4 linked regions of the Alligator mississippiensis genome follow. The protein of the gene in region 1 purifies or fractionates together with the protein of each later gene. This does not show direct contact. Links are inferred from orthologs where the notes say so. Each region holds a gene or a part of one and is shown on either strand. Other genes may lie near its edges. The genes, in order: SMARCA2, DPF2, BCL7B and CEBPB.

Region 1 (7,822 bases):
TTTTTTTTTTTATGCTTCTCCAAAGCACATGCACACTGCAGCAAAAAAACCCTCCTGGGTCAGGAACCCCCTGGCTGGTTTGGACTGGCTGCTCTCACACTATCACAGTCCTGTTGGGGGGAAGAAAATGAAGACACTGTATGTACACACATACATACATGCACACACACATACAATCACAAACCTGTTGGAGGAAAAGAAAATGAAGACACTATAGATACATACATACACATACTCATACTATCACAATCCCTGTGGAGGAAAAGAAAATGAAGATGCTATACATACACACACACCACACACATACACACATGTATACACATACACACGTATACTCACATACCACACGTACACACCACACCACACACACCCCACACCCATACAACATACCACACTACACACACACATATACACACACATCACTACATGTGTATACACACAATGTACACACACACACACACACACACACACACACAGAGCCAGGGCCCCAGAGAAGGCTCCTCCAGCAAGGAGATAATGCAACGTGGTGGAGGGGGAGGCAGGGCCATATGTCTTGCAGGCACACTAACTTCAGCCCCCTGGAGATCTCTACTCCGATCCCAGATTGGGAGATAGTCCCGTCCCCCCTCCCGCCGCCCCCCTCCGCTTGGCTCCATTCAATTGCCAGCTTTTTTGCTTTTTTTTTGTATATATTTTTGGCCTTCCCAACACCTCCCCCCCCCTCCGGCTCCCCCTCCAGTGACTCTTCCGGGACGCTGGGGAAATGCATAGGCCTCAACTTTGCCGCTGGAGCGCACGGATCCCGCGGCCCCGAGCGACATGCAGTGCAGGCACCCGGAGCCCGGCCACGTCCCCCAGCTCCCCCTGCCTTTCTGGAAAGTTTGAGCGCCGATCGACGGGCTCCGAGCAGCGCCAGCCCCGCTCCCCGCCCCCCTTCCCACCTCCACCTCCAGCCCGCGCCATGGCAGCGGAGCTCCCCCGGGCCCGCTCCGGGGCTTTACCTTCCCCCGGCCCCGACCTTCGGCCCGGAGCGCTCCCGCCCGCGCGGGGGGGAGCGGGCAGCAGGGTCGGGCGGGAGGGGGCAGCCCGGCCCCCGGCACAGCTAGGCCCGGCTCTCCGCTGCGCGGCTTCCCTCCGTCATCGTGTCATACTGATCAAACATGTCTGTGCGCGCCTGTGTGCGTGTGTGAGCGCCTGTCTCTGCCTGCTGGGACTTCCTGATTCTCTGCTGCCGCTACACACACACGCACCCTCACAGCCACCCCAAACCTCTGCTGCGACTGCCTGATTCTCTGCTGCTACACACACATACACACAACCCCGCACACACACACCAGCCCTCCCAGCCACCTCTTTTACACACATACAACCCTCACAACCACCCCAAACCTCTGCTGCGACTTCCTGATTCTCTGCTGCTGCTGCTGCTACATTCACTCACACACCACACACCACCCCCTCTGGCACACGCACACAACCCCTCCAAACCATCCCAAACCTCTGCTGTGACTTCCTGATTTTCTGCGTCTGCTACACACACACACACACACACACACACACACCAGTCCTCCCAACCACCCCCAAACCTCTCACACACCCCCAAACCTCTGCTGTGACTTTGATTCTCTGCTGCTGCTACACACACACAACCCCCCCACAGACATACACACACAACCCCTCTCACACACACCAGGCCTCCCAGCCACCTCTCTCTCACACACAACCCTCAAAACCACCCTAAACCTGTGCTGTGACTTCCTGAGTCTCTGTCAATGCTGCTCCACACCGTGCACGCACACACGCGCACACACACACACACAAAACCTCTCTCTGTGTCCCTCCAAAGCCCCAGCCACCAAAAGCAACAGAGGCTTAAATCCCCACTCCCCCTCCATTTCCCCTCCCTCTCTCTCTCTCTTTGCACTTCATCAGCCACCCAAAAACTTTTTCTGCCCCCCACCTCCAAAGCCCCCTCCCACTTGGGGCACCTCCCGCCCAGCTCCCCAGCCCCGGATCCGTGCCAGCAGGAAGAGAAAAGCGCCACCCCCTTCCCCCCCAGAAAACAAAATGACTGACATTTTCTGTGCCTACCGGAAATAAAATGCCGGGGGGGGGCCGGTGGCTTTGAAAGCCGGGGGGGGCATCTCGCCAGCGCTTGTTTGGTACCACTGCTGCAAGGCCGGGGGGGGAGCAGCAGCGAGCAGGGCTGGAGGGAGAGGAGCTATTTTAGGAAGTGAATCGCGACACCTTCCAGTCCCCGGCGGAGGGCACCGCCGGCAATTCACAACAGCCCGGCCGAGATGGGAGGAGGCAACAGGAGGGGCTGCAGCACCCCCCTCCCCAAGTCCTGCCCCCCCTTCCCCTGCGCGTGTCATGTTGGTGACAGTCAAGCAGGAGATTATCCTGCTCATGGCCTCCTTTGCTCAGCGGCTCGCTGCTGCTCCTCTCCCGCGCCCCCCCTCCCCAGCACGTCTGTCCAAACACCGGGCATGGGCAGGAGCCCACTCCGCACGGGCCCCTCCTGCTGCCCCGGAGCAGGGCGCGGGGAACTTCAGCCCCAGCAGGAGGCAACCTCCCCCTCCCTCCCACCCCCGGCAGAGCCCCCCGGGGTTGCAAGGTGAGGGCGGGGAGAAAGGAGACAAGCCGGCCCCCCTCGGCCCCGGGCTGCAGCTTCCCGCTGTCCATTTGTGTCCCCGGAGCCCGAGCTGCAGGCACTGTCGCCTCCTGCATCGCCTGACTCACGAGGCAGGAACCCGGGGGAGGCAGGCAGCAAAGGACCGGGCGGGGGAAGGAGAGGAGAGGACGGGAGGGGAAGGGGGGTCCTTCTTCCAGGTCCTTATTGCAAAAAGATATCGCAGCTCAAACTTTCTTCCTCCTCCTGCCGCTGCTGCTGCCTGGGGAGGGGAGATCGGAGGGGGGCCGGGGCTGGGGGCCGGGCCGGGGGGTGCAAGGCGGTGCCGAGCCGGCCGCGGGGCGCGCCGAGCCCCTATTTACCTGGCCCGGAAGCCGCGCGGCGCCGCCGGGGTCCCCGCTCCGTGTGCGCGAGCCTCCCGAGTGCAGCGCCCGCGCGCCGGGGACGAGATTATGAATATGACTTCATTGATGACAGCCGTCCCCTCCTTTCCCCCGGGCTCCGCCCCCGCGCCCCTCCGGCCGCGTGCAGCCATTGGGCGGGCCGCGCCACGCGGGCCCGCCCCCCGCAACTGGGGGGGCAGCGGATTGGCGCTGGGGGGTGTCACTCAAGCAGCTGCCTGTGGAGGGGATGTGGAAGAATGTGGAGGGAGATACACACACACATATACATGTACACACGTACATATACACACACATACCGGGGACGGGGTGCAGGGAGTGTGGGGGGCACAGCCTGCTGACCCCTACCCCTTTACATGCTCCTGGGCGCGCTGGGGGGTGCGTGGGCTGTGCGGAGAGACACGCCAGAGAGAGAGAGAGAGAGAGAGATGGATGGTGGAGTAGTAATAGTAATAATAGTACTTTGGGGGGAAGGTGAGGAAGGTGCTGGAATGTAACTGTGCCTGCCAGGGCGAGCCTGCAGGGATGGAGGGGGAGGAGAGGATGGGGAGGAGCGAGCTGACTGGTACTGGAGGCAGCTGGTTGTACCTGGTGTTTATGTTGGGGGGCAGAGAAGAAAAAGAAGGACATTATTGTCACACAAGCAGAAACTTTTTTATTCAAGTCCACTTAGATCTTCCTTTTGTGGGAAAAGCTGGGGGGGGGAAGGCATCAGAGAACATTCCAGCTGGATGTATCTGCCAGTCAGCTGGGCTTTCAACTTCCTGAGTGCCCCTGAAGGAAGATGCCTCTCCAGGAGCCCAGCTGGCTATTACTTACAGAATATTCCTTCAGAAGACCTGGTTGTTTTGTGTCTGAGCTGGAGCCCCCAACGAACCTAGTCGTCACATGTCACTTGCGTGACCAAAAAGGCTGTGTCTGTGTTAAGTGAGGGGTAGATCTGTTTTTTAGGGTCAGGACATGTCAGTAGTGTCATTTTCTTCATTCCACAGTCTCTCTATGCTTTTCCCCCTGAGAATTTCCAATATATCTGCTTCCAGCCTTGCCAGTGGACAAGCCCAGCATTGTGCAGTCGCAGTCCACTGACCTGAGCTGTAGGTTTAATGAAGATCTAAAAAAGACCTACAGAAGGGATGGTTTAATAAACAGTGTTGTAAAAGATCTCTAAGTTTGGTAGGCCTGTTATTGTACAGTCTGAATAACACAGTCACTTGATTGAAAATTAAAACCCAACCCTACTTGATTCTGTTCCTCTTTATGTAAATGTAATGGGCTTGAATCTTGAATCAGTCATTCTGAGTGCAGCGTGAAAATTTTGTTTTGGATTTTATTTGCTGCCCTAGAGTAAAATTTCACGTTAAGAGAAATTCTAATATTAAAATCACTCACTATATATTTGAGCAATGGTGTTTGAAATGCAGTTTCTTTTTACTGATCTTAGCGACCAACTGGAGTAGTTAAGGACCTGAAGCAATGCCGGGAGCGCTGAATGCTCCATATGGTCATTAAGTGACAGGTATTGTTTACATGTCTGGTCTTTTGCTGGTAGCATTAGGATTTGTAATGGCCCAATTATAATGCTGGGTGTACAATGCTAATTATCACTGATTCTGTAGTTTTTCCAGGATCTTATTACTTGATCATTAACTTGAGCTTCCTAGTTATTTTAAAGTGAGCATCAAAATGATAAAAGATAACTGCACCAAAGAGAATCAGTATTAAGACTGTACAACCCCAAGTAGCCAATAAAAAAGTTGTTCTTCAAAAGAGGAAGCAGGTATTGTCATGTGGTTCAACTGTATCTATAAGAAAGACATACTGGGGAGCAAAATCAATGAAATGATAGAGCTGAATGCAAATGGGAAACTGTGAGTCTGTAAGGAGAAAAAAAAAGCAGATGATCAAATACCCAATAGCAAAGGGTGCTTGTAACTTTTTTTTAATCTACTTAGAATAGGGCATCTCAATCTTAGCTTTGTGTCTATGGCTATGATTTACAATCCAGCATTTTAGAGATAAAAGAATGTAATTAACATGCTTGTGAGAAGCAGCAGAGCACCAATGCAGGGTATTTTTCCTTCCTTAAACATCATCCCTCCATTATACAAGCCACTTCTTTTTTTCCACAGCAAATCTGCAGGCCTTCTGCCCTTTATCTCTGCAGAGGAGAAAACAAGCCTTACCTAAGGGGAAGCTTGTATGCAAGGCAGCTCACCTGCATTGGCCTTGAACTCAGCAGAAATCAAACCAAATGGCCGTTGCTTTCAGTAGAAAGGATACAGCGAGGGCAAAGAATATTAAATTAATCTTTCAGGCAAAATAAAGTGTTCAATTGATGTTAGGGGTAACTGCGCTGATTACTTTTTGTTTGCTGGAAAACATACAGCAGCAGATTTTGTTTGAGGCTATGAGAACTCCAAGATGTTGAATGGATATATTGTTAAAGTAAAGTCAAGCTGAAGGCTTTTTTTTTCCTGTTGGACTTTGATAAAGTATAATTTAATCTCTCTATAGCCTGGTATCAAGGGGATGGAGTCTATCTTTTATGTTACTGCAGACATAGTCTGTTGGCAAAGAAAACTGGACTGAAGTTGATGAAATCATTCAAGAAGTCAGCCTATGGACTTTAGGTTGTTGGTTGTAGCCATGTTGATCTAAAGACATAGGCAGACAAGGTTTTTTGAATAGATGTGAGATCTTTTATTAGACGAACTAAATAGTTGGAAAAATTGTTTTTTGCAAGCTTTCAGGCACAAATACCCTTCTTCAGGCATAGGGAGAGTTTGTTGGTGTGTGTGCTCTCCTGGATAGAATAGAAGCTAATATGCAAAATGCAGCTCTGTGAAAATGCAAATGTGTGACAGTGAGATTCAAAGGGAATGAGAGACATTCCCTTGCAGCTCTGGCATAAACTGTGCCACCCTGGCTCCACCCTGGCTCAAATGGCTGCTGTCCCAGGCACATGTGTAGACTCTGCACCCAGGACTATTTGACTCCAGCGTAAACTACTCCAGAGTTTATTGCTTTGGATTAATTGCATGCACAGAATCACCCATTACAGATTAAAAGGGTAAATTACTCTTAAACTGATTCATCTCTTGTCCATTTCCTCCAAGGGGAAAATGTTAAGGTCACCTAAGTGAATGAATGCTTCAGGATGCCTCATGTACTGTAGAAAGAATTGAAATTTGTCTACATGAACCAGAAGCTACAGTGATATGAAAGTTTCCATCTCAGACCATGTCTACGCTGCATTTACATCCCTACATTTACAATGCGTACATATTCCAGGGGCCTTTGCAGCAGCATCCACCTTTCTGTCTGCAGTTAGACAACCAAGCAGTCCAAAGAGACTAATGTTTCTGCTACCAGAATCAAGACAATACTTGTAAGTGCTCCTGTACCCACTTCTGGAACAGCAGTCTCATCCCAGGGACACTTTGCACACCACCAACAGTAACACAACTGTCTTTTTGTTTTTTGCAAAAATATAAATATATATAACTTTACCTCCAACACTCTGCCAAGTGTCCCTTGTGGTTTACTTGGTAGATTAAAGCACATTTTACTGTCAGGAGCTGCTAGAAGTGCCTGGATTTGGACTTACTCTGGCAATTTGGTAACTGTTGCCTGCTCCCAAAACTTCTGTTGGCAGAAACAAAGAAGTATAATTGACGCAGTGCTCTTGTGTAGATATTCAGAATAAGGCCATTCCCACCTGGGAATTGTACTGCATATCTAAGAGCTTGTCTACACTATAAAGCCTTTGCTATTATATTTATGCCAAAGTAGCTTTGTTGACAGAGCCCCCTAGCAAAGACAGAAGCATCAGCCCATTGTAGTTATTTCTCTGCCATAATAGCTGCACCACCTCTCCAAACAATGTAAGCTGAGGTAGCAGAAGTCCTCTTCTGTCAGTACATCTGTGTCAATGCCAAGGGGTTTGCCAGCATAGCTACGTCAGCTAAAGGTTGCAGTCTATTCACATTTCTGAATGGAAATGATTACATCAACAAAGCTTTTTACTTTTGACCTGGCCTAAGACTCTAAGAGAATTTTACAAATATAAGAATACCAGTTTAGTAAACTTGTCAAATCCTAGCATAGACCCAACTATACCAGCAAAATTGAACTCTATGGGCATGTCCCCACATGCAGGGGCACGCGGTTCCAGCAGCACAAGTAGCAGTGGCAGAAATTTGTGCTGCTGCATTGTGCTTCATCGCATGCCCCTATACATGTGCTTCAGCACACAGCAAATTGTCCCAGGTAGGGGTAGGAGAGGACAGGGCTAGCACCTGTGCTGGCCCTAGCAGTATTACCTGGTGTCCTGGTGCAGCAAGGGTGCAGATCTGACAACATGGAGCCTGACTGGCAGCCAGAACATTGCTCTAGATGGCCAGCCCTCCGTGTGTTCCAGCACACGCTATGGATGCTTGCGCTGCACTGCTTTTTTCCCCAGAATTTGTTTTTGCCACTGGAGTTCCCCAGTAAGAAAGTTTGCCCTCACACTGCAAATTTGCAGCACAGAACACGTTTTAATGTTCTGGGAGTGTCCTTTGTGGTGCCGCAAAGAGGCTTGTGGCACCACAAACCACATGTGCCTGAATATCTGGATGCTCCCTTACTAGTACAGTAGATAAACCTCCGAAACTCTACTGGGGAAAGTTCAGTTTTATCAATATAACCAGTATTACAGGCATCTGTCAACACAGGCATCCTGGTCAGTGATCACAACTGTTCATAACCCTGACAGATGTAGTTATATCAGCTTGTAATATATAATTGT
Region 2 (7,198 bases), on another chromosome or scaffold:
CCCCCTTTTAAAAATTATCTTATCTTGTAATATTTCCCTTGCCAAACACTTTGAGAAAGCATACAGAGGAACATATTCTGCCTTCAATTATACACAGTGCGGCTCCACAGATTTTAACAGAATCACCCACTGGTCGGCTTGAGGGCAAGATCTGACTCCTGCTCCACAAAAAATGTTTCCTTAAAAGGTTTTACAAATACTGCTTGAGACACAGCAGGGGTCATGAATTAAGAACCACAGTGAGACAAGACAGGAGGTCTGGTTTCCAGTGTCATAATTTCCCCATCCTCCCCCCTGCCCCCTAAAAATACTCTCCCATCTTCCTTTGTCCATTTGGATATGAAGATTTTCAAAGCTGGGACTGCATTGCATCTGAGGACAATTTTACATAGCGGCCTGTTTCCAATCTTAGCTAACACCACAAGCAGAAGTTATCTAGCTGGCACTAACCAGAGAAATTACGCTCAAAACCCCATTTTATGGATGGCTTCAGCTAATACAATTACTTCCACCCCCATTGGCAAGAATCTCAGAAAAGAGTTTTGTGCTGGAAGTTATTACAATTAATTGTGGGGAAAGGAAATGGACAGGATACTTGGGTGGTGGTGGTGAGGGGGGACAAGGAATGGAAAGAGCGCCCCGTGAAACCCCTTTATAAAATTCCTGCCTGTTTTTCAATGACAGCAAGAGAGTCGCAATTTTTCCAGCGATGGAAACAAAGCGAGGCAAACTCGTGCCTTGACATAAAGGCTTCCTGAAAGGTTTGCACAGAGATAACGTGCCTTGGGACCGTTAAAACACACTAAGCCACAATCAGGAGACCAATGCTGTCTTTTTAAGACTGGGCGGCAGCTCCTCAGCATTTCAGCTATCCTCACCGCAAAGAGACATTCACAACTTTCTGCTCCAAAAAGCAAACAGCCACCCTTTTCATGAAAAATAAATACATTCCACCCTCATGTGACCAAGTGGATAATGCAATACTTTCTATTTCACTGGCTTTTTGAGCATCCTGACAACCCAGCAATGTACAAAAGGTTAGTCACTGATTGGGGGGGGTAGATATACTCTTGCTGGGGGATGCTGCAGTATAGATTTGGGGCCAGAGCGCATACTGTAGGGCAGCGACTGCCCACTGCAGAACCCAAGGACCCTTAGGATCTTTAATGCATTTTATCTTCACAAACCTCCTGTGAAGGAAGAGAGAGGTTTGAGATAACCGAGTCCAAGCTCCAGTCTCTATCCAGGCTGGGACTGCAGAATGGTTTTTCCCCCCTGTGGACTACAAGTTCCATGAGCCCAGTTTGCAGACTGGGACTGTGCTACAAACCCTCAGGCTGAGACTGGGGCCTGTCATGACAGGCACTGTTTAACCCTGCGAGGCACTGCCCAGTCCCCCAGTGAAAACCAGCCGCTGCCCGGAGTAACTCACTGTATAGACAAGACAGGTAAGTATCATTAGCCCCGTACCACAGCTGGGCATCTCGGCCTTAGGGGAGCACATACAGCGCCTAGCGCAGCCTTGTCCCAAGGCATTTTTTTTTTTTTTTTTAAGAATTCCTGCTGTTTGGTGCACTGTAAGGGGAAGAAACTCTCTTTTCACAAGAGAAAGCAGAAGCTTGGCTGAAAAGGATGAATTCTAGCAGAAGCACGGCCATCGATTAACCTCCAGGAGTTACCCCCGTGTCCCAAGTACTGCTCCCAGTGCGGATTCAGCCAGACTTTCCATGTTACAGGCATCCTTAGGACGCACTGGAGAAAGGACAAAGCTGGAGACGTTATGAAGGGAGGGGACTGAGCTTGGGTCCCATGCATCCCTGCCCCTCCCCATCCAATCCCACACCCCTATGCCATCCTAACCCACCCCGTCCCCAAACACTCATCAGTTCCAACCTGCGCATCTTCAGGGCAGATTCTGGCTGATTCACCATGATTTTGCAAGCCCAGATTGTGAGAACAGCACTGGAGCTCCCCCCCACCCCTTCACAGCAGGGTGATCTCTTCCTCCCTCGTCCCCCATGCCGCGGGGCCCCTTTCCCCCCCTTGGGGTCCTTGTCTTTCCTTCCACCCCAAGGATCCCTGCGGAGCTGCCCCCAGGGACCAGGGATGTTCTTCCCTATCCACCCAAAGGAACTTGATGGGAGGGGGCTTCACCCCTCTCCCTCCATAAGGCCCCCTATGCAGGGGGCTCAAAACCTTCCCCTCTCAGCTTCCTGCCCCCACTCAGGGACCTTGGGGAGAGGATCTGACACCCCCCCACCAACTCCAAGGGCCCAGCAGGAGAGAAGCTTCCCCCCTCTCCACCCCTAAGACCCCCACAAAGACCCTCTGGGGGGCTCCCCTTCCCCCTGCTCCCCCACAGAGTCCCTCCTGCCTCCCCGCCACCCAAGACCCCCTATGGGGGGGCCTCTTCCCCTCTAGAGACCCCCTCCCCCACGTCCCCTCCTAACCTCCACCCAAAACACCCCCTCCCCCACGTCCCCTCCTACCCCCCCACACCCCGTCCTAACCCCCCACCCCAAAAACCCCCTAAGAAGTGCCCCCCAGCCCCATCCCCACCTCCCCCAGAGGCCCCCCTTCCCTACAGGGCCCCTACTGCCCCCCACAACTCCACGGGGGTCCCATCCCCCCTCCACGGGCGCTACCAAGTAAGCCTGGGGGGGAAAGAGCCCCCCGTTCCCACGCATTGCCGGGCTGGGGGGGGGCAGGTCCTCCCCCCAAACTAGAACCCGGGCTGCGAAACTTTGCGCCGAACAATGAAAGCCCCGGAGAGGGAGCGCGGCTCCGTCCCTCCCCTTTCCGGCGACTTGGTCTCGCCCGGGGGTCCCCCCGTTCCATTTGCGCGGCTGAGGCCCGGGCTGCACCACTGCCCCCACCGGGGGGGGTGAAAGGAGGTGGGGGGCGAAACCACTCACAGCTTCACGACGTTCTGTACCACCGCCGCCATCTTGCCTCTGCCGCCTGGGCCGTGGGCCGCCCCGCGCGCATGCGCCGAGAGCAGCAAGGCAGCGAGGAACGGGGAGAAACCATCCTCCTATTGCGCACGCGCAGAGGCCTCCTCCCGTCCCACTCTTGATTAATAAGTACGCGTGCGCCAACTGAGAATCAGGCGCCCCCTCTACTCTAGTGCTGGGTCATCATGGCGCATGCGCCGAGGCTCACCCGCCTCTGCCTGGCCCTCGGCAATGCACATGCCCAGAGCGCGCGCGCTCGCCCTCGATGGTGTGGTACTGCGCATGCGCAACCCGTTGGGCGGGGTTGGGGCTGTTCTGGGGCGCATGCGCGAGAGGGAATGGGGTTAAAAAGGCGGGAAAAAGGGTGTGAGGGAGGGAAGGATAGAGACGTGATTGAGGGGAAGGGGGAAAATGGGGGGAATGACAAGAGCATTTAAAAAGAATGGAGGGAATGAGAGAAAATGGAGGGATGAGGGGGAAGACTGGAAAGATGGAGGGAGGAGGATAGACTGGAAGGAGAAGCACCGAGACTAGGTGGGAAGGATGATGCGTGATGGGGGGGGGGGTAGGCAGATAGTTGAAAGGAGGGACTGATCCCAACGGGACTCCCAACAGCCCAGTCCCTTTTGCCATGCAGGTCACTGGTGTGAGACAGGCCGATTGCTGCTGCCACGGGACCAGCAGTCCTCCATAAAGGGACAGAGCGGGCTGAGGGCATGAAGGGTCCAGAAAGCTGCCCTTGCGACACCTGCCCTGGACGTGCAGAGGATTGGTGCCGGGGTCTCTACTGGAAGGCAGGTGGTTACATGTTGCTTCATGCAAGGCAAACAAGGTAAGAATGCTGAAATGAATGGCGTTTTGGATGGCATGTGCACGCCAAGGGATAACTAATAGGAAAAAGCTTGTTGGGCTTTGACTCGAGGAGCAGCAGTAAAGGGAGTCTTGGGCAAACAGAAGAGACGGCGCGTTAACACTGGTATAATTCGTCTACACCGACAAAAAATCATACAGCGATCCACAGTGGACAGACAAGCAGTTGCCTTGGGCTTCCTGCAACAATAGGCAACTATTATGCTGCCTTTCCACCGGGTAGTAAGAGAACATGCAGTAGTCATGAACAAATGGGTAATCCAGGAAAAGCATGGACACGCACCAAGCTACACTGGTGTCTCTTTCCTGCTGCTTTTCCCCAAACCCCGGTAAGCACGCTGGCACAAAGGCTTACACTGCGTCTCTTCCTTGTTCACCCCAGCATAAAAGCAGTTTACGCTGATGTAAGTGTGTTGGATCCAGACCCAGAGGTAAGTTGTGTCCTCAAGAAATGAGACTCTTGTTCTCCTCAACAGCGCGTGCATAGATTGAGTGCTCTGCCCTCCAGTCCATTGCATGGGTTACGAATGCAGGACTGCTGTCCCCCCGGGAGGCCGGAGGGACAGCCCACACCCTAACAGAGTCATGGAAAAATATATTCGGAGCTGTTGACTCGCCTGCGTTTGGACAGTGATAAATTATTCAGGTTTGACGCTGGGAAAGTTTTGCTCCTGTATTTGGAAGGTAAGCAGCCGCAGGCTGGTCCTCAAAGCAGCAGAACAGAAAAAGAAGGTAGTGGGGAAGGGAAATAAATGGGAAAATACTAAAATGTGAGTATTTAAGGACAAAACACATGGTTAAGTAGATGAGGTTCTGGCCTAGACTTTAATGGCATGGTTCAATTTCTAGCTTAGTGATACATTCCTTGGGTGAGCTGCTTAGGGCTGCTCTACTTGGAGTGTGAACTTAAACCACGCCGTCTGCCATGTTTGCTCACATACAACCCAGCCTAGAATAAAATTCACATCTTGTTTTTTGAAAGGCAGGCTAAAGAACAAAACCAAACGTTTCTTGTAGTAAGTAACTCGGTAGCAGCAGCAAAAGAGCTGAACCTGCTCTCTCTTCTGTTGCCTGTAAGTAGTATGCACATCTGACTTTCACTTTTGCCTGGTAAGGCAGAAACTCTTCTTACCTTATTTCTTGTATATAAATTGCACTGAAATTTCCAACATCTCTTTTGGAGGCATGGTGCATGTTGTATGTGAGGAAAATATGGTATTCCTCATTAACTCTTGCAGACTAAGACTGAGGAGGTATAATCTATTTTCAAAGTGAAGTAAGCAGCCCCTGCAGAGTCTCACTGAATGCACATTAAGAGCATCTACATGTGGGGCTAGTGCGGAGTAGCTAGTGCACCATACATTCACACCCATCTTACTGCATAGTAACGTCCCAGGCTTGTAATACCCATCTCTAAACATGTTGGGTAAATCATTCCCAATCTCCAAGGGGTGGGTGTTGGAAGGATAACAACCTATGAATGCTTCTGATGTGCTCAACTGCTGTGGGCCCAAGGGTCATAATTGGATCTTGAACAGAGTAAGTAACTACACGGGCAGCTTTGGGCCAAAGTTCTCACTCTCTATGGGGTAACATTTCTGTGAGTGAAAGTATATTGCCTTATTGCGAGCATGTTTTCTGCAGCACAGCTGCACCCGGCCTCATTGTGACACTTCCTTGGCTTGCTCACTAGGAAAGATGAGAACAACCACATATTTGCCCTGCCTTTTTTTTTTTTTTTCCCTTAAATTCCATTACTGATCGTAGGTTCCTTCCCTCACCCCTGCCCTTCCAATACACAATTTAGCTCTTTGTTTCAACTTTCCCCTTCCCAGCTCCCCAGTAATTAATTTTGCAGTTGGAGTCTAATGGAAGGGTCTCTGCAATGCCATTTCAGCTTGCGATCGGAAGGGGGTGCCATGGCCAACCCCTGTGCTGTTCCTGTGTCGGAGGTGCGAGTTTGGCGGGACAGCCTTTCTCTGCTTTCTCATTGCCAGCCAGGATGGCTAAAGTGAAGTTGTTGAATTTGCTTTATTTTCCCGAAACGGATTGGCTGCTCTTTCATTTTTCCACAGTGGGGTTAAGAAGGCATATGAAAGCACCAGGCTCAGGAAGTGCAGAAACTATTTGGCCTTGAGCTATTTGGCTAAGTCATCCCTTTTCCCCAGGCAGCCACACTGCAAGTAGTTCCTTGTTCCCAGGCAGCTCTGCTTCACACCCACTAGATTGCCACATGGTACAAATGGCTTTGGGAACTTCAGCCAATGGTGATAAGCAGTGGGGTAGTTGTTCTAGCGCAAACCTCCAGGCTAAGTACAGACAATCAAAAAGCCCAAGGCTGAATCAATTCAATCTCCACGGATTAGTCTAAACTGTGTAAATTGAACCGATTAACAAGTGAACAGACATTCACTTTTGATTCCAGAAATGCAGCCATGTGCCTGCAGTGGCCCAAGCCAGAAGCTGGGTGGGGGTGAGGGGCGCCAGAGCACGCCTCCCTGGTCTGCTGGAGCAGATGGCTTGAATCTGGAGGGGATCTGGGACAGAAGTTCAATAAACCGAATTAAATTAGTTAAGTCTGATACTATATCCATCCAGGTTTATCTTATACTGGTTTCAGCCATTTTGAAAGTGGTTTATGGGCACTGAACTTCTGTTGTGTTACAGATTTGAACCGGTTTCCAATTGCTTATACCAGTTTGTGTAATTTCTGTCCCTAGCCCCAGGGTAGACAGACTAAATCACTGTAAGCACAGTGTGCACCTCTGCACTTTCCACAGCTGGATTTAACAACACTGGTGTATATATAGTAGCTTGCCTGCCAAAAGTAATGTTTTGCAGTAGGAGCAGGGGCAAATATCCAGCGCAGAAGAGGCCTGTGACTTCCACGCTGCAGAAACCTGGGCAGGGATGTCTGCACCCCTCATTGTCCTGCCTGAATGGAACGCTGTTTCCTTTACGAACAAAGTCAGAAGCACAATACTTGCATTCAGTGCCACACTTCATCTGCTTTGAATGCCCAGCTGACAAAATGCATTTCCCCATTTCTTTCTTTCCTCCATCTGCATGCTCCCTGCAATTTTTTTTTTCTTTTTTTTTCTACGTGGCCTCTTGGCATCTCTGTTTTTACTCCCCCTCGCTAAGAATTTGTCTTCCAGCCAGCTAGCTTGCCTCCTACGTATGAAGTTACATGGTGAGTCAATACCACAGTCATGATTGGAACCCTGGAGGTCCCTCCATGTTGCAACCATTATAACACCCTTCATCCAAGAGTCGGGAAGATACATTTGTCAGCTTCGCTAACCAAGGCATCCTCATTAGAAGTGGAATTGAAAAGAATCTGCAGTCCCCCCCTCATTGAGTCCAGGAGCCCC
Region 3 (7,497 bases), on another chromosome or scaffold:
TTTTATACAGTGATCCTGGCCCTGAAGCCTTTCAGAAATCATGGAAGGTTTTATGTTCCTCTGCTTGGTTAGTTAGAAAGATATTTGGGAACCTTGAGAGCAGCAGTATCTAGCATATTAGGGGTCTTCTCACCTTCACCATCAGCACCTGTTCACTGACTTGTGCCTCAGCAATACTGTTGCCCCAGTTTACTGCCCTTTGGAAGGCACACATGATGGGCACTGGCACTGCATCCAGGCTCATGTAGCAACCAAAAGAGCAAAGCAGATGTCTTTGAACTTTTGAGTCCAGGTTAATTGTAACTGCAGTAGATGAGAACAAGCTTTTCCTAGCAAGTAATGCACCTTTAGCAAAGATAAGTCTGTAACAGTCTTTCACTGACATGTCACAGCAGTGATGTTGTATGAACTTACCCTGTCTCAGGGCATTTGGGAATGTGAACTCTAGGTGTCTGGGTGTCCCTTGCTGGTCTCAAAGCATACCATGCCCTGGGTATCCTTTGTGGAGCAGTCTTCTTACAGTCTCCTGTCCCATACTGACTTCCTGGAGTGCCATACACCTGTCACTGTGTAAATGGTGACAAACGGTACTTATTTCCCTAGCGAGAACCCAGGATGTTAACTCAGATCTCTTGATAGGGTCAGCCAGCATCTTGAGCTCTTGCAATACCCACATCTGCTTGGGTTCCCCCACCTGACTACCTTTAATCTCCCCAGCGTGTTCAAAGAACAGTCAGACAAATAAGGGAGCAACAGCAGTGCATCCTGTCCCCAGTGAAGCACTCTGCCTGGTCTAGCATCATTTGACTGATGTCCTGTTTGGGCTTTCTTCCAGGTTTGTGGCATCCTGTGGCTTCACCCCTGATGTGAAGGTCTGGGAAGTGTGCTTTGGCAAGAGTGGAGACTTCCGAGAAGTGGTCAGGGCTTTTGAGTTGAAAGGCCATAGTGCTGGCGTGTACTCTTTCTCATTCTCTAATGACTCCAGACGGTAAGATGCCCTTTAGCTGCCCTAGATCATGTCCTGTCTAGTATAATCTTCCCTGTGACTGGTTGGGTGATCTCTTCCAGCATAAAGGAGTAATAAGTCAGTAGAGATTCCTTCCTCAGCACTGCAAGTCTCTAAGCACCATGTGCTGAATCGCTCCATCCTGACTGATAAGAAAGTTAGGAAAAGTAGGGGCTGGAAGAGACCTCAGGAGGTCATATTTAGTCCAACTCCCAGCTGAAGGTAGGATCATCCCTTACTAAACCATCCCTGTCAAATGTCTGTCTAGTCTGCTCATCTGTGACAGCATGTTGGCATTGATGAGACTGCTTGCCAAGCCAAGGAAGGTTTCCACCTTCTTACTCCCCAGTTCAGATTTCCCTCTTGCTGGTGCATGGTTGTTCTCCCCCACCTTCAATACAACATTTCCCTGGGTACCAGAGTTAGCAGGTCACCAGTCAAGCCATCATGGCATGCAGTATCCAGGAGAATGGCTCCTCTTTCCTGGTAGGGTCTGCAGTTTGCAGGGGCTGGAGAAGGGGGAACGGTATTGTGTTGCTCCTTGCACCTGACGTGGACATGTCTCTTTTGCTGTAGGATGGCAACAGTTTCAAAAGATGGCACATGGAAGCTGTGGGACACTGACATAGAGTATAAGAAGCAACAAGATCCTTATCTGCTGCTGACAGGGAAATGTGAGGTGTCTGAGCCTTGTCATATTGCCTTGTCCCCCGATGCCCGGGTAATGGCCATCTCTTGTGGCACTAATATCATTATGTACAACACCCGAAGGGGAGAGGAGGAGGAGCGCTTTCTCAACGTCCACGGAGAGTACATCACGGACTTGGCCTTTGATATTAACAGTCGTTACTTGGTGTCGTGTGGAGACAGGGCCATTCGGGTGTTCCACAACACAGCAGGCTACCGGGCTGTGATGGAGGAAATGAAAGGGATGCTGAAAAAAGCTACTAATATGGCCACCAGAGAGAGACTGCAGCAGCAGATCACAGATGCTCAGAGTGCACTGGACAGTATTTCAGCCAAGAAGGACTAACCTCAGTCTACTGGGATCAGTGTATGTGCAACCTCTCTGAGGTGGGGAGCTTTGCACTTTGCATTTATTGGGATTTTAATACTGAATTGAGTGCTAATAAAAATGTACAGACTGCTCAACCCGTTGGGGTTCCCTTGTGTATTTCTAAACAGAGTTGGAGAGCTGGAAAGCTGAGTGGCAGAGGTGGAGATGGTTTAAAGAGGCCATATGATGGGAAGTAGCTGCCTAGGGAAGATTGAAGGGGAGGAAGCCTGTAATTACCCTAAAACTTCATTGATCCTGAGCTATGTTATGAGGTTCCAGACCAAATGGGAGGGTAGTTCTTGTGTGAGGTAGTTAGAGCACAGATGATGAATGCCTTTTAAGGAGCTGTGAAATGGCTTTGCGGGGGTGAAGCGCATCTAGGGAGAGAGAGAGATTTTTCTGGGCTTGCTCCAAACTTTGGAACTCCTCACAGTTGCTAAAAATCTAAGTTATTGGCCTGGAATGTAGCAAAAGCTTGCTGGCATGCTAAAAATGCGAAACAGCAGTGAGCAGTAAACCTAACATTTAGTTTGAGATGGCAGACTGCCTGAATTTGGACTACAAAAAAACAGTTCTTAATGCTTACTGGGGTTGTGTAACTCGCCTCTGGGAAAGTGATTCAACATCTTTGGCAACAGAATTATTTTTTCCTTCTAAATGTTAATACTAGAACTATAAATGAGATTCCTTTGGGGCTGAGTGTAGTCTTCTGTATCTTGTTACTGGTCATGCTGCATCTTGAGATGCAGCAGCAGATTACTTTGGTGACAGGACACAGAGAGGACAGTATATTACTAAAATACTAGCAGGATGAACAGGGAAGTGTCTCATAAGGGATCTCTGTTCCGTTCCTTATGTGCAAACCAGAACATTTTACTCCCACTTACAGTGATGGCAGAACAGTTCTACTGGGCAGGTCCTGCCATCTGCACTTGCAGCTAAAAGCTAATGGATATTTTAAAATATCCTGGTTTTGAAACAGAGGTAGTAAAGTAGCCTGGGATTCTGCAGTACAATAGTGTTTCTGTACAGAGGTGTGTAGTATACATCAGCCAATAGGGCCTAGGCACTTGGTGTTGAAAACAAATACTTTCTGTGGGTTGTGTGCCCCTATTAAATGTCAGGGTGACTGAGCCCTGTGGTGCACAGTTCATGCTGGGATCCTGTGTGGGATGGAATTCTAGTTTTAAGGTTAGGTTTTAATGAGCCCTGAAACCTGACACGAGTGTGTTTTGGGAGACACTAAAACTAAAGTTCTGCTGCCATAGACAAATATATCACTAATAGGATCCTAGGCTGGATATGACCTAATGCAGGGGTGGCCAACCTATGGTCTGTGTGCCACAAGTGATGTGGACAACCTCTATAGGGCACGCAGCACTTGAAGGGAGGGTAGATGAAGAGCAGAGCACCAGAGGGTCCAGAGGGGCGGACTGGACTGGTGCTTGGAGGGGGTGGGACTATTGTGGCATGACTGTCACAAGGCTGCCCCACCCCCTGAACTTAGGGTTGACCCCTCTTCCTTTCCTATTAATATTTTGCAGTGTGTCAAATCTCCCCCAATACCATGTGATGCAAGTGCTCTGTGCTGCTGTGCACAATGTGGTGGCGCTATTAATGACCGATTTGCTGACTTCAGAGAGTATCTGAAACATGGCTCTGAACATTGTTGTTGATGCAGCCCAGCCGTAAAGGTGAAATGTTACTGTAAAAGGGTAGTCAAGAAACCCTGATTTAAGTTGCATACTTTAATCTTGTATTCGGATTATTTATCCATATCTGTATTTTGATTCTCAGTTCTTACTTTTTTATTACATAAAAAATGCCATGGATTCTGCCAATGTCCAATTTCCTTCTTATTTTAATGATTTGTCACCCTCCATTAAAATTGTTAAATATGGACGAAGGCAGCAAATTAAGACGGTTTTATGACTGGGATAGTGGAATACGTGTTTTGCCCTTAATCGCTGTGGACCATTATTCTCCAACTGCCCCCGTGGGGCCTTCGCAGCAGGAAGGGAGAGGGGCGGCCTCTGCAATTGCAGTCCAGCAAGACCCCCCAGCGCCGCGGACCAGTGCGGTGGGGCTCTGCCCGTCGGATCAGGACCTGGAGGCCGGGCTCGGGCCAGGAGCGGGCCCCACACGCCACGGTCTGGACACGTGGCCCCAGCGAGCAGCAGCCAGCGCCGCCGCCGCTTCCTCACGACCCAGGGAAGCTCTGCCGGGATTGAGACCCGGCGGGGCGGGGCGGGGCAGCGGTGCCGCGCATGCGTGCTTGGGGGCGGGGACTCGAGGATCGCTGCGCAACATGGCAGCGCCCCCGCCCTGGCGCCGCTCCCCGCACGCGCGTCAGTCAGGCGCCGGCTGCGCCGCGCAGGCGCACTGCGTCACCCCGCTCTTCCCTCCCCTCGGGCGCAGCGGGCGCGCTGACGTATTACGCATAGGGCGTGGATAGGGCGGGTCGCGCGCATGCGCCGGGAGCGGCGGCGGGTGCTGCGGAGCCGAGGCTGCCGGGGCTGCGGGCGCCATGTCGGGCCGCTCGGTGCGAGCCGAGACCCGCAGCCGCGCCAAGGATGACATCAAAAAAGTGATGGCGGCCATCGAGCGCGTCCGCAAATGGTGAGAGGCGGGGCCGGGGGGGCGGGGCCTCGAGGCAAGCGACCAATCACTGTGCCATGCGGGCTTCGGCGGAGGCCCTCCAGTGAAGAACACCCAATCAGAGAGCTGTGCCGGCCGGTGGGTGGGATTAAATGGGGAGCGCCCAATCGCTGCTACCTGCGGCTTGCGGAAGGTGAGGACAGGAAGGGTGGCCAGATTGGCAGGTGCCGGAACCAATCGTCGTCCAACCCACGCGGTGAGGGCGTGGCTTTAGAGACGTTTGTGGATTGGCACTTTCCCAGGCCAATCGCAGCTGAGGGCGGGGGAGGGGGGGGTCTATTGTTACCATGGGGCAGGAGGAACCCGCCCACCTCTACCCCGCGTCTGCCCGCGGTGGGGGCGGGGCCGGGCCGGGCTCCGGGGTCGGTGGAGGGGGGGAGGTGTCGCCGGGTCGTTGGTGCTGCTCAGCGGGACTCGGGGGCGCTGCGGAAGCGAGGGCAGCAGGAGTAACTCCTGCGGGGTGGAGCCGCCGCCGCCCCCCTCCGCCCCGGCCTGGGGCCGCACAAGATGGCGCTCCCGGGCGGCCCCCGGCCCCTGCCCGAGCGGGGGAGGCACTCGGGCCCCAGGCAGTGGCTGGAGCCGCCTCCCAGTGGCAGGTCACCTCTGCCCTGGTGCGGAGCTCCAGCCCCTTCCTCTGGGCTCTCTTGCTGCAGCCGCAGCAGGTTCCCTGGGCTCCGCTTCGCTTCCTGACGGGCCCCGAGCGCCTGCTCCGAGCTGCTCCCCGCGCTGCGCTTGTACAGGGAACTTGCCAATCCGTGAGCTCGGGACTAGCCACCGCGCGCGGCGCCTCCCCGAGCTGGGTGAGAAACCCGGTTAGCACATGGAGAGCCCACACGCGTGCTGCTACTCGCTGCCTTGCTGAGCATTTTGGGGACATCCTGGTTATTGGTTACAGATTATCCCACAATCCCAAACAGCAAGGATGAGAAACGGTGTGAACGGTCCCGATCCGCAGCAGCCAAAACCTCGAGCTTCTTCCCTGCTGGTAGTTGTTATAACGCAGCGATTGATACAGGAACCCGCCCCGCATTGAACACGGGAGGGCAGCATGAATATTGAATTTAACGTCCAATTATGTAACGAGGACTCTTGTGGTATTTCAGGGGGACCTACAGTGCTCCGACAAAAACCATCCTTGCCCCCGCAGCACTGATTATATTGCAATTAACTGTCATGCTGCTGTAAAAGAGAATAGTTGCATCTTTCTGACAGGTGAAGAGGTCTGACCCCTAGCGGGCATAGTCTGTGGAGGGGAAAGCCCATGTGATCGTCAGTGCTGCCTTTAAGGGCTGGAGGCAGAATTTGTTTCAAAACCAAAAGCTTAGATTGCAGGACATGAGATGCAGCAGCTGGCTCACTGACCCCTGCAAACCCTCCCTGCCCATTGCCTGCCCTTCTCCCTAGTTAGACACCACTCCCCTACTCGTGTTGGGGAGGGTCTAGTTTCTCACCCTGCTAGCCAGCCCCAGGGACAGAGTGCAGGTCTGATTACATCCCCCCCCCCCCCACCCGGGCCCTGATGATAGGAATACATTAATGTAAAAGCTAGTATAAAGAGAAGCTGCCAGTATCCTCTCATCTGACTGGGCAGAGAATGTAAGAAGTGAGACAGGGTTTGAATAGCCCTGATCCTAGCCGAGTGTTTACATAGCCGTATGGAAGTCCATGGGGGCACTGCAGGCAGGCTCTGCTTTACTGGTAGGACTGTCAGTTTTACTCTTTTTCTGAAACTTCCTTGGTAAGTTTATGGAAAAGCAGCAGTATAGGCATGATCCTGAACTTCCTGGTAACTGGATTACCTTTCTGAGGGGGAGGAACATGGCTGTGTACTAAGCAACCCCTTAAATGCTTCACTGACTGTGTGGCTGCCAGAGGTTGCTTGTTCCGTCAGTTTTAATCTTTTTCCTGGCCTGTGGTAGGGAGAAGAAGTGGGTGACAGTTGGAGACACTTCTCTCCGGATATTCAAGTGGGTGCCTGTAGCAGACAGTAAGGAGGTAAGTGCTGAGCCTATGTAAGGAGAGAGCTTAAAGGTTTCCACACTGTGGCTGGGGAAGAACATGCCTGAACAGTGTGTAGTTGGCAGGGGTTCCTTATGGCTGTTATGAGCTAGTCTTCATCACTGTGCTTATGGCCTGGGTTGGTACATTGAAGTGATGAATGAATTGAACTGGCAAGTGCTACTGCCAGGGCTAGAGGAGAGAGAGAAGGCAGCTGTGTCCTTAGGGAGGGCAGCTTCCTCTGAAGCTTTGGTTCATGTCTCTCCCTTGTACCTGTTGACAGTAAACTCCTTTAACCTCAGGGGTTTTTTTCTCTCTTTCTCCCTTCAAGAAAGAGAAATCCAAATCAAGTAGCAACGCGGCACGTGAATCCAATGGCTTCCCAGCTGACACCTCTGCCAACTCCTCCCTCCTCCTGGAGTTTCAGGGTGAGTCTGCTCAGCCTCATCCCATTACTTTGCTAGTGTGCTGGTAGGCAGGGAAAGGGCACTTCCACCACTCACACTGAAAGGGACTTCCAGGAGCTAAAGGGTTGCTAGATTCTGCGTATTGTACATCTCTGTGGGAGCAGTGTGAATTTCTACAAGGCATGTTGATTTAACACATTAGGCTTCTAGGATTATCTATGGTGAAGCTTTTAATTACTGGCGTCTGATGGAAAAGCAATAAAATGAGTAATTATAGCTGTGGTTTTCCCTTTCTTTTCCAGCAAGAGGCATCATAGGGAATGTTTTGGATAATTGGAGGGATGGAGAGCTCCCTACATCCCCTTTCCTAT
Region 4 (7,151 bases), on another chromosome or scaffold:
TCCATCCATGCCTCCTTTCTCCTTTACCTCGGTACCCCACAGACATATTCCTGACCCATCCTTCCCTCCAGCAAACACGTACATGCACTTTCCAGAGGAGCAGCACTATCAGCACTTTGTTAGAAATATGTTGCAGAATAAAGGCCCAAAAGAAGACTGTAGGGAGAGCTGTTCACATGCATCTCACCTCAGCTGGGTTTTGTGGTAGGTGTCTCAGTGCTGACCCAAAGTTCCCGACATTCAACACAAAAATTCTGTCATCTTCTGGTTTATCCCTGTAAACTACAGGCAGCAGCAATGCCGAGTCACATAACCGAGAAGCAAGAAACCTGCTTTAAAAAAAAAAAACAAAAAACAATCCCCAGAAAACCCCCAGGCAGCAGCAAAATCAAGGTATTAGAGGAAATTCAAGGAGGCAGCAAGGGGGAACTGGCTCAGACTCCCAGGCTCGGCTCTTCACCGGTTCTCTCTTAGTCTTCTGCTGAGTCACGGAGTCAAAAAGAAAAAGTTCTGCTCCTTGCTCTCACCAAGGCAGGCCAGAGCGCGCCGATTCGTTCTGCCTTGACAGTGCCTTGAAAATAAAACAAGCACCTCTTGTTCCTAGCCAGAAAATTTATTAAAATTGTTCATTAATGCTTCGACCGCAGCAAGAAGGCATAGATCCCAAAATATACACACGCTTTCTTATAGAAATAGATTACTCTTTATAATAAAAAAACAAAAAAAAGTAGAAACATCTTTAAACAGATTACTCAATTCATGACTGACAGTTACATGAGATTGCATCATGTCCACAGCATTCCCAGCCATGTTTCAAGGATTGCATCACTCTCTGCTCTCTCTCCCTCTCGCTCCGTTTTAAATAACTCTAGCATTCACCAGCCTGCAGAGATCGTGCATCAGGAAGGGGGGGAAAGGCGGGGGGGGGGGGCAGGAAGGGGGACTTTGGCTGCTGTTGAAACAAAGCAATGGCCCCCAGGAAACACGGTTCCTCCAGCAGGGATGGAGGAGCCCAGGAGCTCCCCCTTTCCCAAGGAAGGCAGAGGCTGGGGTGGGGGGGTTCTCCCGCCAGCAGGTACATACAGACACCAGCAAAGACAGCTCAAGGCTCTCCCCGGGTCTCCCCTGGCCCCAGTCCAGTCTCGGGGGGGGGGGGGGCAAGGAACAAGCAGCCACCCGACCCCTCATACACACACACACATCCCATACAGACATATATACTCCACACACACATCCCTCACACAGACATCCCCCCATATATAAACACACCCCCATACCTACACACACACGCACTCCACACCCCTATACAGTAGACACAGACTCCATACACCCCCCAGACACCCCTCACACACACAGAGATCCATGACATCCCCATGCGCACACACACACATTCAAATAGAAACATGCTATGCCCCATGCACACACACAGTCAGACGGATACAGGACACCCCCATGTGCACACACACACACAGATCCGTGCCATGCCCCATGCACACACAGTCAGACGGATACAGGACACCCCCATGTGCACACACACACACAGATCCGTGCCATGCCCCATGCACACACAGTCAGACGGATACAGGACACCCCCATGTGCACACACACACACAGATCCGTGCCATGCCCCATGCGCACACAGTCAGATGGATACAGGACACCCCCATGTGCACACACACACACAGATCCGTGCCATGCCCCATGCGCACACAGTCAGACGGATACAGGACACCCCCATGTGCACACACACACACACACACACAGATCCATGCCATGCCCCATGCGCACACAGGCAGACGGATACAGGACACCCCCATGTGCACACACACACACACAGATCCATGCCATGCCCCATGCGCACACAGGCAGACGGATACAGGACACCCCCATGTGCACGCGCACACACACACACAAATAGATACAGGCCACCCCATACACATACACACACACACTTGCGCGCCCCCTCCCCGCGGGCGCCCCCGCCCCGCGCCGTGGCCGCGGGGCCCGGGCCGGCTAGCAGTGTCCCGCCGTGGCCAGCAGGGGCTCGGGCAGCTGCTTGAACAAGTTCCTGAGGGTGCTGAGCTCGCGGGAGAGCTGCTCCACCTTCTTCTGCAGCCGCTCGTTCTCGGCCGTCAGTTCCAAGACCTTGTGCTGCGTCTCCAGGTTGCGCTGCTTGGCCTTGTCGCGGCTCTTGCGCACCGCGATGTTGTTGCGCTCCCGCCGCAGCTTGTACTCCTCGCTGTGCTTGTCCACGCTCTTCTTGCCCTTGGCCTTGGCGCCGCCGTAGCCCGCGGCGCCCGCCGGCTTGGCCGCCTCGGCCGGGGTGGGCGTGCCGGGCGGGCTGGACGACGAGGACGTGGAGAGGTTGCCGCTGCTGCCGCTGGGCACGGACTGGTAGCCCAGGTAGGAGCGCGCCGCGCTGCCGTAGGCCGCCGCCATGGCCCCGCCGTCCTCCTTGCGGCCGCCCTTGCACGAGTCCAGCGTCTCGAAGACGGGCGGCTCCGCCTTGGCGGGCTCGAAGCGGCCGGGGCCGTGGCCGTGGCGCGGCAGGCCGAGGTAGGCGTAGTCGCCCTTCTTGGCGCCGCCCTTGTAGTCCTCGGCGAAGAGGTCGGAGAGGAAGTCGGCGCCGCCGCCGCCGCCGCCGCCGGGCTCGAAGCCGCCCCCCGCGGACGGAGCGGGCGCGGGTGCGGGCGCGGGGCCGGGCGGCGGCTCCAGGTAGGGGCTGAAGTCGATGGCCCGCTCGTGCTCGCCCACGCCCGCGCCCAGCTCGCTCATGGGGCGGCCGCGCGGGTGCAGCTTGCTGAGCGCCGCCAGGCAGTCCGCCTCGTAGTACAGGTTGGCCACGTCCATGGGCTTAAAGGCGGGTGGCTGGAGCGGGAGGCATGCCGCGTCCCAGGCCACCAGGCGTTGCATGAACGCGAACGGCGGGCGCAGCTCCGCAGCCTGCTCCGGAGCCTGCTGGGGACGCGCTGCGCTGCGCTGCGCTGCCCGCCGCTCACTGCCCGCGGCTCCTCCTGCCGCCGCCGCCGCCCCGCGCTCGGACCATCCGGCCGCGGCCCGCGCCCCACGGCTCTGACTTGGGAAACTTTCTTCGCGCGGGGATTTATAGGCGCGGCGCTGCCATGGCAACAGCCACGTCATGGCTGGCGGCGAGCCGCGCGCTCCGCTCCGCTCCGCTCCGCTCCCGGCCCCGCAGCGCACCGCGCCGCACCGCGCCGCGCTCAGCGCCCGGGCGCGGCCAGCCCCTGTCCCGGCGGGCAGGTGCGGACCGTCCGGCCGGGCAAAGGGAGGGAGACCCCGTGGCTGCGGGGACGGGACCCCGGGCACGCACACAGGCACATGCATACACCCGTACACGTGTGTATGCCCACACATATAGACACCCATACACACACACATAAACCCGTACACACAGGCACACACACACACCCGTACACACACATACATGTGTGCCCACACACATACACACACACACACACACACACCCTTACACACAGGCATGTGCACACACACACGTACACACACATACACATGTGCATGCACACACATACATGCACACATACAGACATCCTTAGACACATATGTACACCCGTACACACAGGCATGCACACACCCCCATATACACACATACACATACATGCACCCTTACACACATATGTACACCCGTACACACACATGCACATGCATGCACACACACACACACACACACCCCCATACATATGCCCTTACACATACTCATATGTCTACACACACATACCCATACACAGTTTCATAGTTGTTAGGGGCTGGAAGGGACCTTACAGATCATCGGGTCCAGCCGCCCTGTGCTTGGGCAGGAAAGACTGCTGGGGTCATCTGTATTACTGCAAAGGAGAAAACCCACCATATACACACCTGTACACACATACATGCACAGACACACATTGACATGTGTACACATGCACACACAGACATATTCACCCATACACACATACATGCACACACACACACAGGCACATACACACACACACCCCCATGGCCCATGAGACACAGAAGCTGCCCTTGTGCCAGGAGAAGCTGGATCCTTTGAATGTGACAGTGTTTGAAAGCACCGCTTATGTGTGCCCTCCAAGTACTGCCCAACGTTGGGTGAGTATCCTTCTCCCCATTTTAGATTTGGGGGGGGGGGGGGGAACTGAGGCAGGGCCTGGGGAAATCAGGACACAGAGCAAGCGATTGATCCAGGGTCACTCATCAAGTCTGGGGCAGAGCCACACACGGAAACTAGATCTTCTTATTCCCAGACCAGTTCCCAGCTCAGTCTGTCACCCTGACAGGCAAAGCTGCTCCGTGCAGACATGCTCGTGACTGGTTATGACAACGAGCAAAAAGGTTATTGCTGTGGAGTCAGAGCAGGGAAGGCCCCGCCACAAAAGCCACCTCTGAACTGGAAGCATCTAGAGTGTCAGGCAAATCCCAAACTGCCCTCCCCACCTCTGTGCGGGAACTGTGGCCTCAGAGTTTGGCCTGGCGTGTTTACCTTGAAGGGTATGTTGCAACTGTCAGGGTACACAGGAGATACAGAGCTGGGCTTTGGAACAGCAATCTGCAACCAGAATGACTGGGGAAAAGGCAACGTACATACACAAAGCCATGGGATACGCTCTTTCGTTCAGCAGGATCGACCCAGAGGAGCCATAGCGAGTTGGAGAAGTGAGAATGAAACTCGATTCCGATTTTAATTAAAGACACCCTTCTTGGGAATCCAACTTATATTTTCCTTCTTTTACTCCCACATTTACCTGTTTACAAGCTGGTGATTCATGCCCAAAATAAAAGACATCAATTTAAAACAAAACATATAATTAAAGGAAGTAGGAGTGTCCTTTGCCTCAGCAAAGAAGACCCAGCACTGCAGGGAAAATGACACTGCCTCTTAGTCTACTGTGAAGCAATCCTGCGGTGTGGGAAATATTGTAACGTTAAGCCAGAGGAACAGGTATTGCATTATACGATTCAAACAGTCAACTGTTCACGAATGTTCCAACCTCCGGACTTCAAAAAGAGGAAGGATTCGAAAATCGGACTTTCTTTTTTTCCTTTCGTTCTTTTGCTCGTTCTTTCGTTCTTTCTTTCTGTTTCATCTGGTCTTGTAAACTGATTTTCTTCCAGAGTAAAGTACGCTGACAGGTTCGGAGACTTCACATATTTCCTACTGCACATCTCTGTCATTCAGCTAATGTTTGGGAACTGTGCATTTCATAAAAAGGGCGTTGAGTTGTGTGGCTGGGTCTGGATATTGTAGCGAGGGGACATCCATCTACAAATATAAACTCTCCACAGGATGCAGATTCTGGCAAGTTGTGGTGAGCTGTTCACATTTATCCTCCTGATTCCTGACCTGACAGCTATAGCCAATTGCTGCCGTACATGGTACAGTAGCTGAACACATCACAATCCACTTTGTTCATTATCCATTTCTAAAATGTCCCCCTTTGCAGGCACCCCTGGAGCACTTCTGGTCTATCTTGGTATTACATTTGCTAGGTCTCTGATTTACCGTAACCATTTGATAAAACTAGTTGCCAGTAAAAATCAGCTTGGTGAGCCTGTTGGATCTACCTGGGAAGTCTAACGCTCCCCTGCTTGGACACCTGCCTCCCTCTCCACTGCTTGGCAGCAGCTTGCTGTGTTCTAGTCTGGGCCTGCTTGTCCCTCACGAGGTTGATCCATGTGTAGCTCTGTGAGACCTCCATATCAAGCTGTGTGCAAGCCATGCCTTCTCCCTAGCTATCAGTGCTAAGTGGTATTGTTTGTGCTAGAAACATTTTAACCACAATGGTGATGAAGGTCAGAAGCTCACCTGATGCCCTGCTGCATCTTTTTCATCCCCTACACCAAGTTTTGGCACACTGATTTTTCAGTAGCATGGCAGAGACTCTCTCTTGCTGGCAGAGACTAAACACTTTGTCAAAAGCCTTACTGTTCAATGGCCCAGGTTTTGACCTGTGTTATCTGCACTGGTCAGTGCTAATATGGTGACTTCAAGTAGGGTGGGGGATGATCTAAACTATAGATATGGCCAGATGGAGACTTTGATTCATGCTATAGTCCCAGCCTGCTAAGTTTTGTCTGGAGAATGTCACGTCGTAGCTTGGCTAGATGTGCACAATAAGCCTCCTAAAGAGCCTTTGCTCTGGAAACCTGCTCTTTGCACATGTTGAGACACAGACATTCCTCCTACTGAAGAGCTGGGCGCTAGCCCTTGCTCCAAGAAGAAGTGGAGAGAAACAGCACTTCTTACCAGGGCTGCACAAAAAGTTTTCTGTCCAAACATTTTCTGCAAGCAATCAGGTTTCTCACTCCATGGCTTTGGTGGGAGAGGCCTGCTTTCCTGGAAAATGTTTCTGATTTTTCATTGGGAGATCAAGAGCATTCAGTTTGGCGGCCAAAAGTATTTCTTTTTATTCAAAAAAGAAATTAGTTTCTCAGTAAGAAGACAGAAGTTCCCTGGAGAGAAACCCAGTTTTCTGGCCAGCTCTTGCTTCTGACTCAATAAACTACAAATGTTTATGGCTTCACTTGACTATAGATGCAGACGCTGGAGGGTGAAACAAGGATAATCTAAAAGGGAAAAGGTGAAGAGAACAGCATGTCCTGATCTGCTGAACAGAGCTCACTCCTACTTTACCACCAGGCCTTGGATCCTGCTCCCTAAGCTGCTGCAGGACAGGAACACCTGGACTCCCGGTGCATTCTCTTCCCTGGATCAGACCTCTGCTAAAACCTTGCTGAAGTTCCCCTCCTCAGAGGCTCGCTCTGTACCTTTTTGAGTGGTTCAGGATCTCTAGTTCTGCATTTCTAGTTCTCCCAGTCTGACCCATGAGTTCATGTCAGCTTTGGGCAGAGGATGTTTGTATGATGCCAACAGATCAAAGAGCAGAATATTTGCCAGCTGGGATTAAACTAACTATTCTCTTGAGAGGTAAGATGGAGTCTGGCTAAATATCACAAACACTTCTCATTGCAAGCTGTCAATGTTTATTATTTATCCTTTGAATTGCAGTAGTGCTTGAAGGTCTCAGCTAGACCAGGGTCCCATTGCATTAGGCAGTGTTCAAACTGATAGAAACAATCTGTCCCAAAAAGCTGCAGACTAAAAAACAAACATA

The links.
Region 2: the proteins of SMARCA2 (region 1) and DPF2 purify together in Homo sapiens (affinity purification with mass spectrometry; 6 studies listed by BioGRID and IntAct, counting the BioPlex papers as one, with this or other methods). This does not show direct contact. The link is inferred for Alligator mississippiensis from reciprocal best matches to the Homo sapiens genes SMARCA2 and DPF2.
Region 3: the proteins of SMARCA2 (region 1) and BCL7B purify together in Homo sapiens (affinity purification with mass spectrometry; 3 studies listed by BioGRID, with this or other methods). This does not show direct contact. The link is inferred for Alligator mississippiensis from reciprocal best matches to the Homo sapiens genes SMARCA2 and BCL7B.
Region 4: the proteins of SMARCA2 (region 1) and CEBPB purify together in Homo sapiens (affinity purification with western blotting; 5 studies listed by BioGRID and IntAct, with this or other methods). This does not show direct contact. The link is inferred for Alligator mississippiensis from reciprocal best matches to the Homo sapiens genes SMARCA2 and CEBPB.

The regions. Positions count from the first base shown.
Region 1 is NC_081826.1:191,852,815-191,860,636, forward strand, and holds the start of SMARCA2 (probable global transcription activator SNF2L2), read right to left. Parts: upstream 3,098-7,822; 5' UTR 2,995-3,097; intron 2,189-2,994; exon of another isoform or gene 2,092-2,188; intron 1,551-2,091; exon of another isoform or gene 1,002-1,550; intron 1-1,001. UniProt on the Homo sapiens protein: ATPase involved in transcriptional activation and repression of select genes by chromatin remodeling (alteration of DNA-nucleosome topology).
Region 2 is NC_081838.1:4,099,328-4,106,525, reverse strand, and holds the start of DPF2 (zinc finger protein ubi-d4), read right to left. Parts: upstream 3,055-7,198; 5' UTR 2,948-3,054; coding exon 2,916-2,947; intron 1-2,915. UniProt on the Homo sapiens protein: Plays an active role in transcriptional regulation by binding modified histones H3 and H4. Is a negative regulator of myeloid differentiation of hematopoietic progenitor cells. Might also have a role in the development and maturation of lymphoid cells.
Region 3 is NC_081837.1:29,540,751-29,548,247, reverse strand, and holds the start of BCL7B (B-cell CLL/lymphoma 7 protein family member B), read left to right. Parts: upstream 1-4,494; 5' UTR 4,495-4,590; coding exon 4,591-4,682; intron 4,683-6,640; coding exon 6,641-6,716; intron 6,717-7,050; coding exon 7,051-7,147; intron 7,148-7,497. Other genes in the region: TBL2 (transducin beta-like protein 2), read left to right, coding at 836-988, 1,583-2,039. UniProt on the Homo sapiens protein: Positive regulator of apoptosis. Plays a role in the Wnt signaling pathway, negatively regulating the expression of Wnt signaling components CTNNB1 and HMGA1.
Region 4 is NC_081832.1:13,203,795-13,210,945, forward strand, and holds CEBPB (CCAAT/enhancer-binding protein beta), read right to left. Parts: upstream 3,063-7,151; 5' UTR 2,914-3,062; coding exon 2,014-2,913; 3' UTR 595-2,013; downstream 1-594. UniProt on the Homo sapiens protein: Important transcription factor regulating the expression of genes involved in immune and inflammatory responses. Also plays a significant role in adipogenesis, as well as in the gluconeogenic pathway, liver regeneration, and hematopoiesis.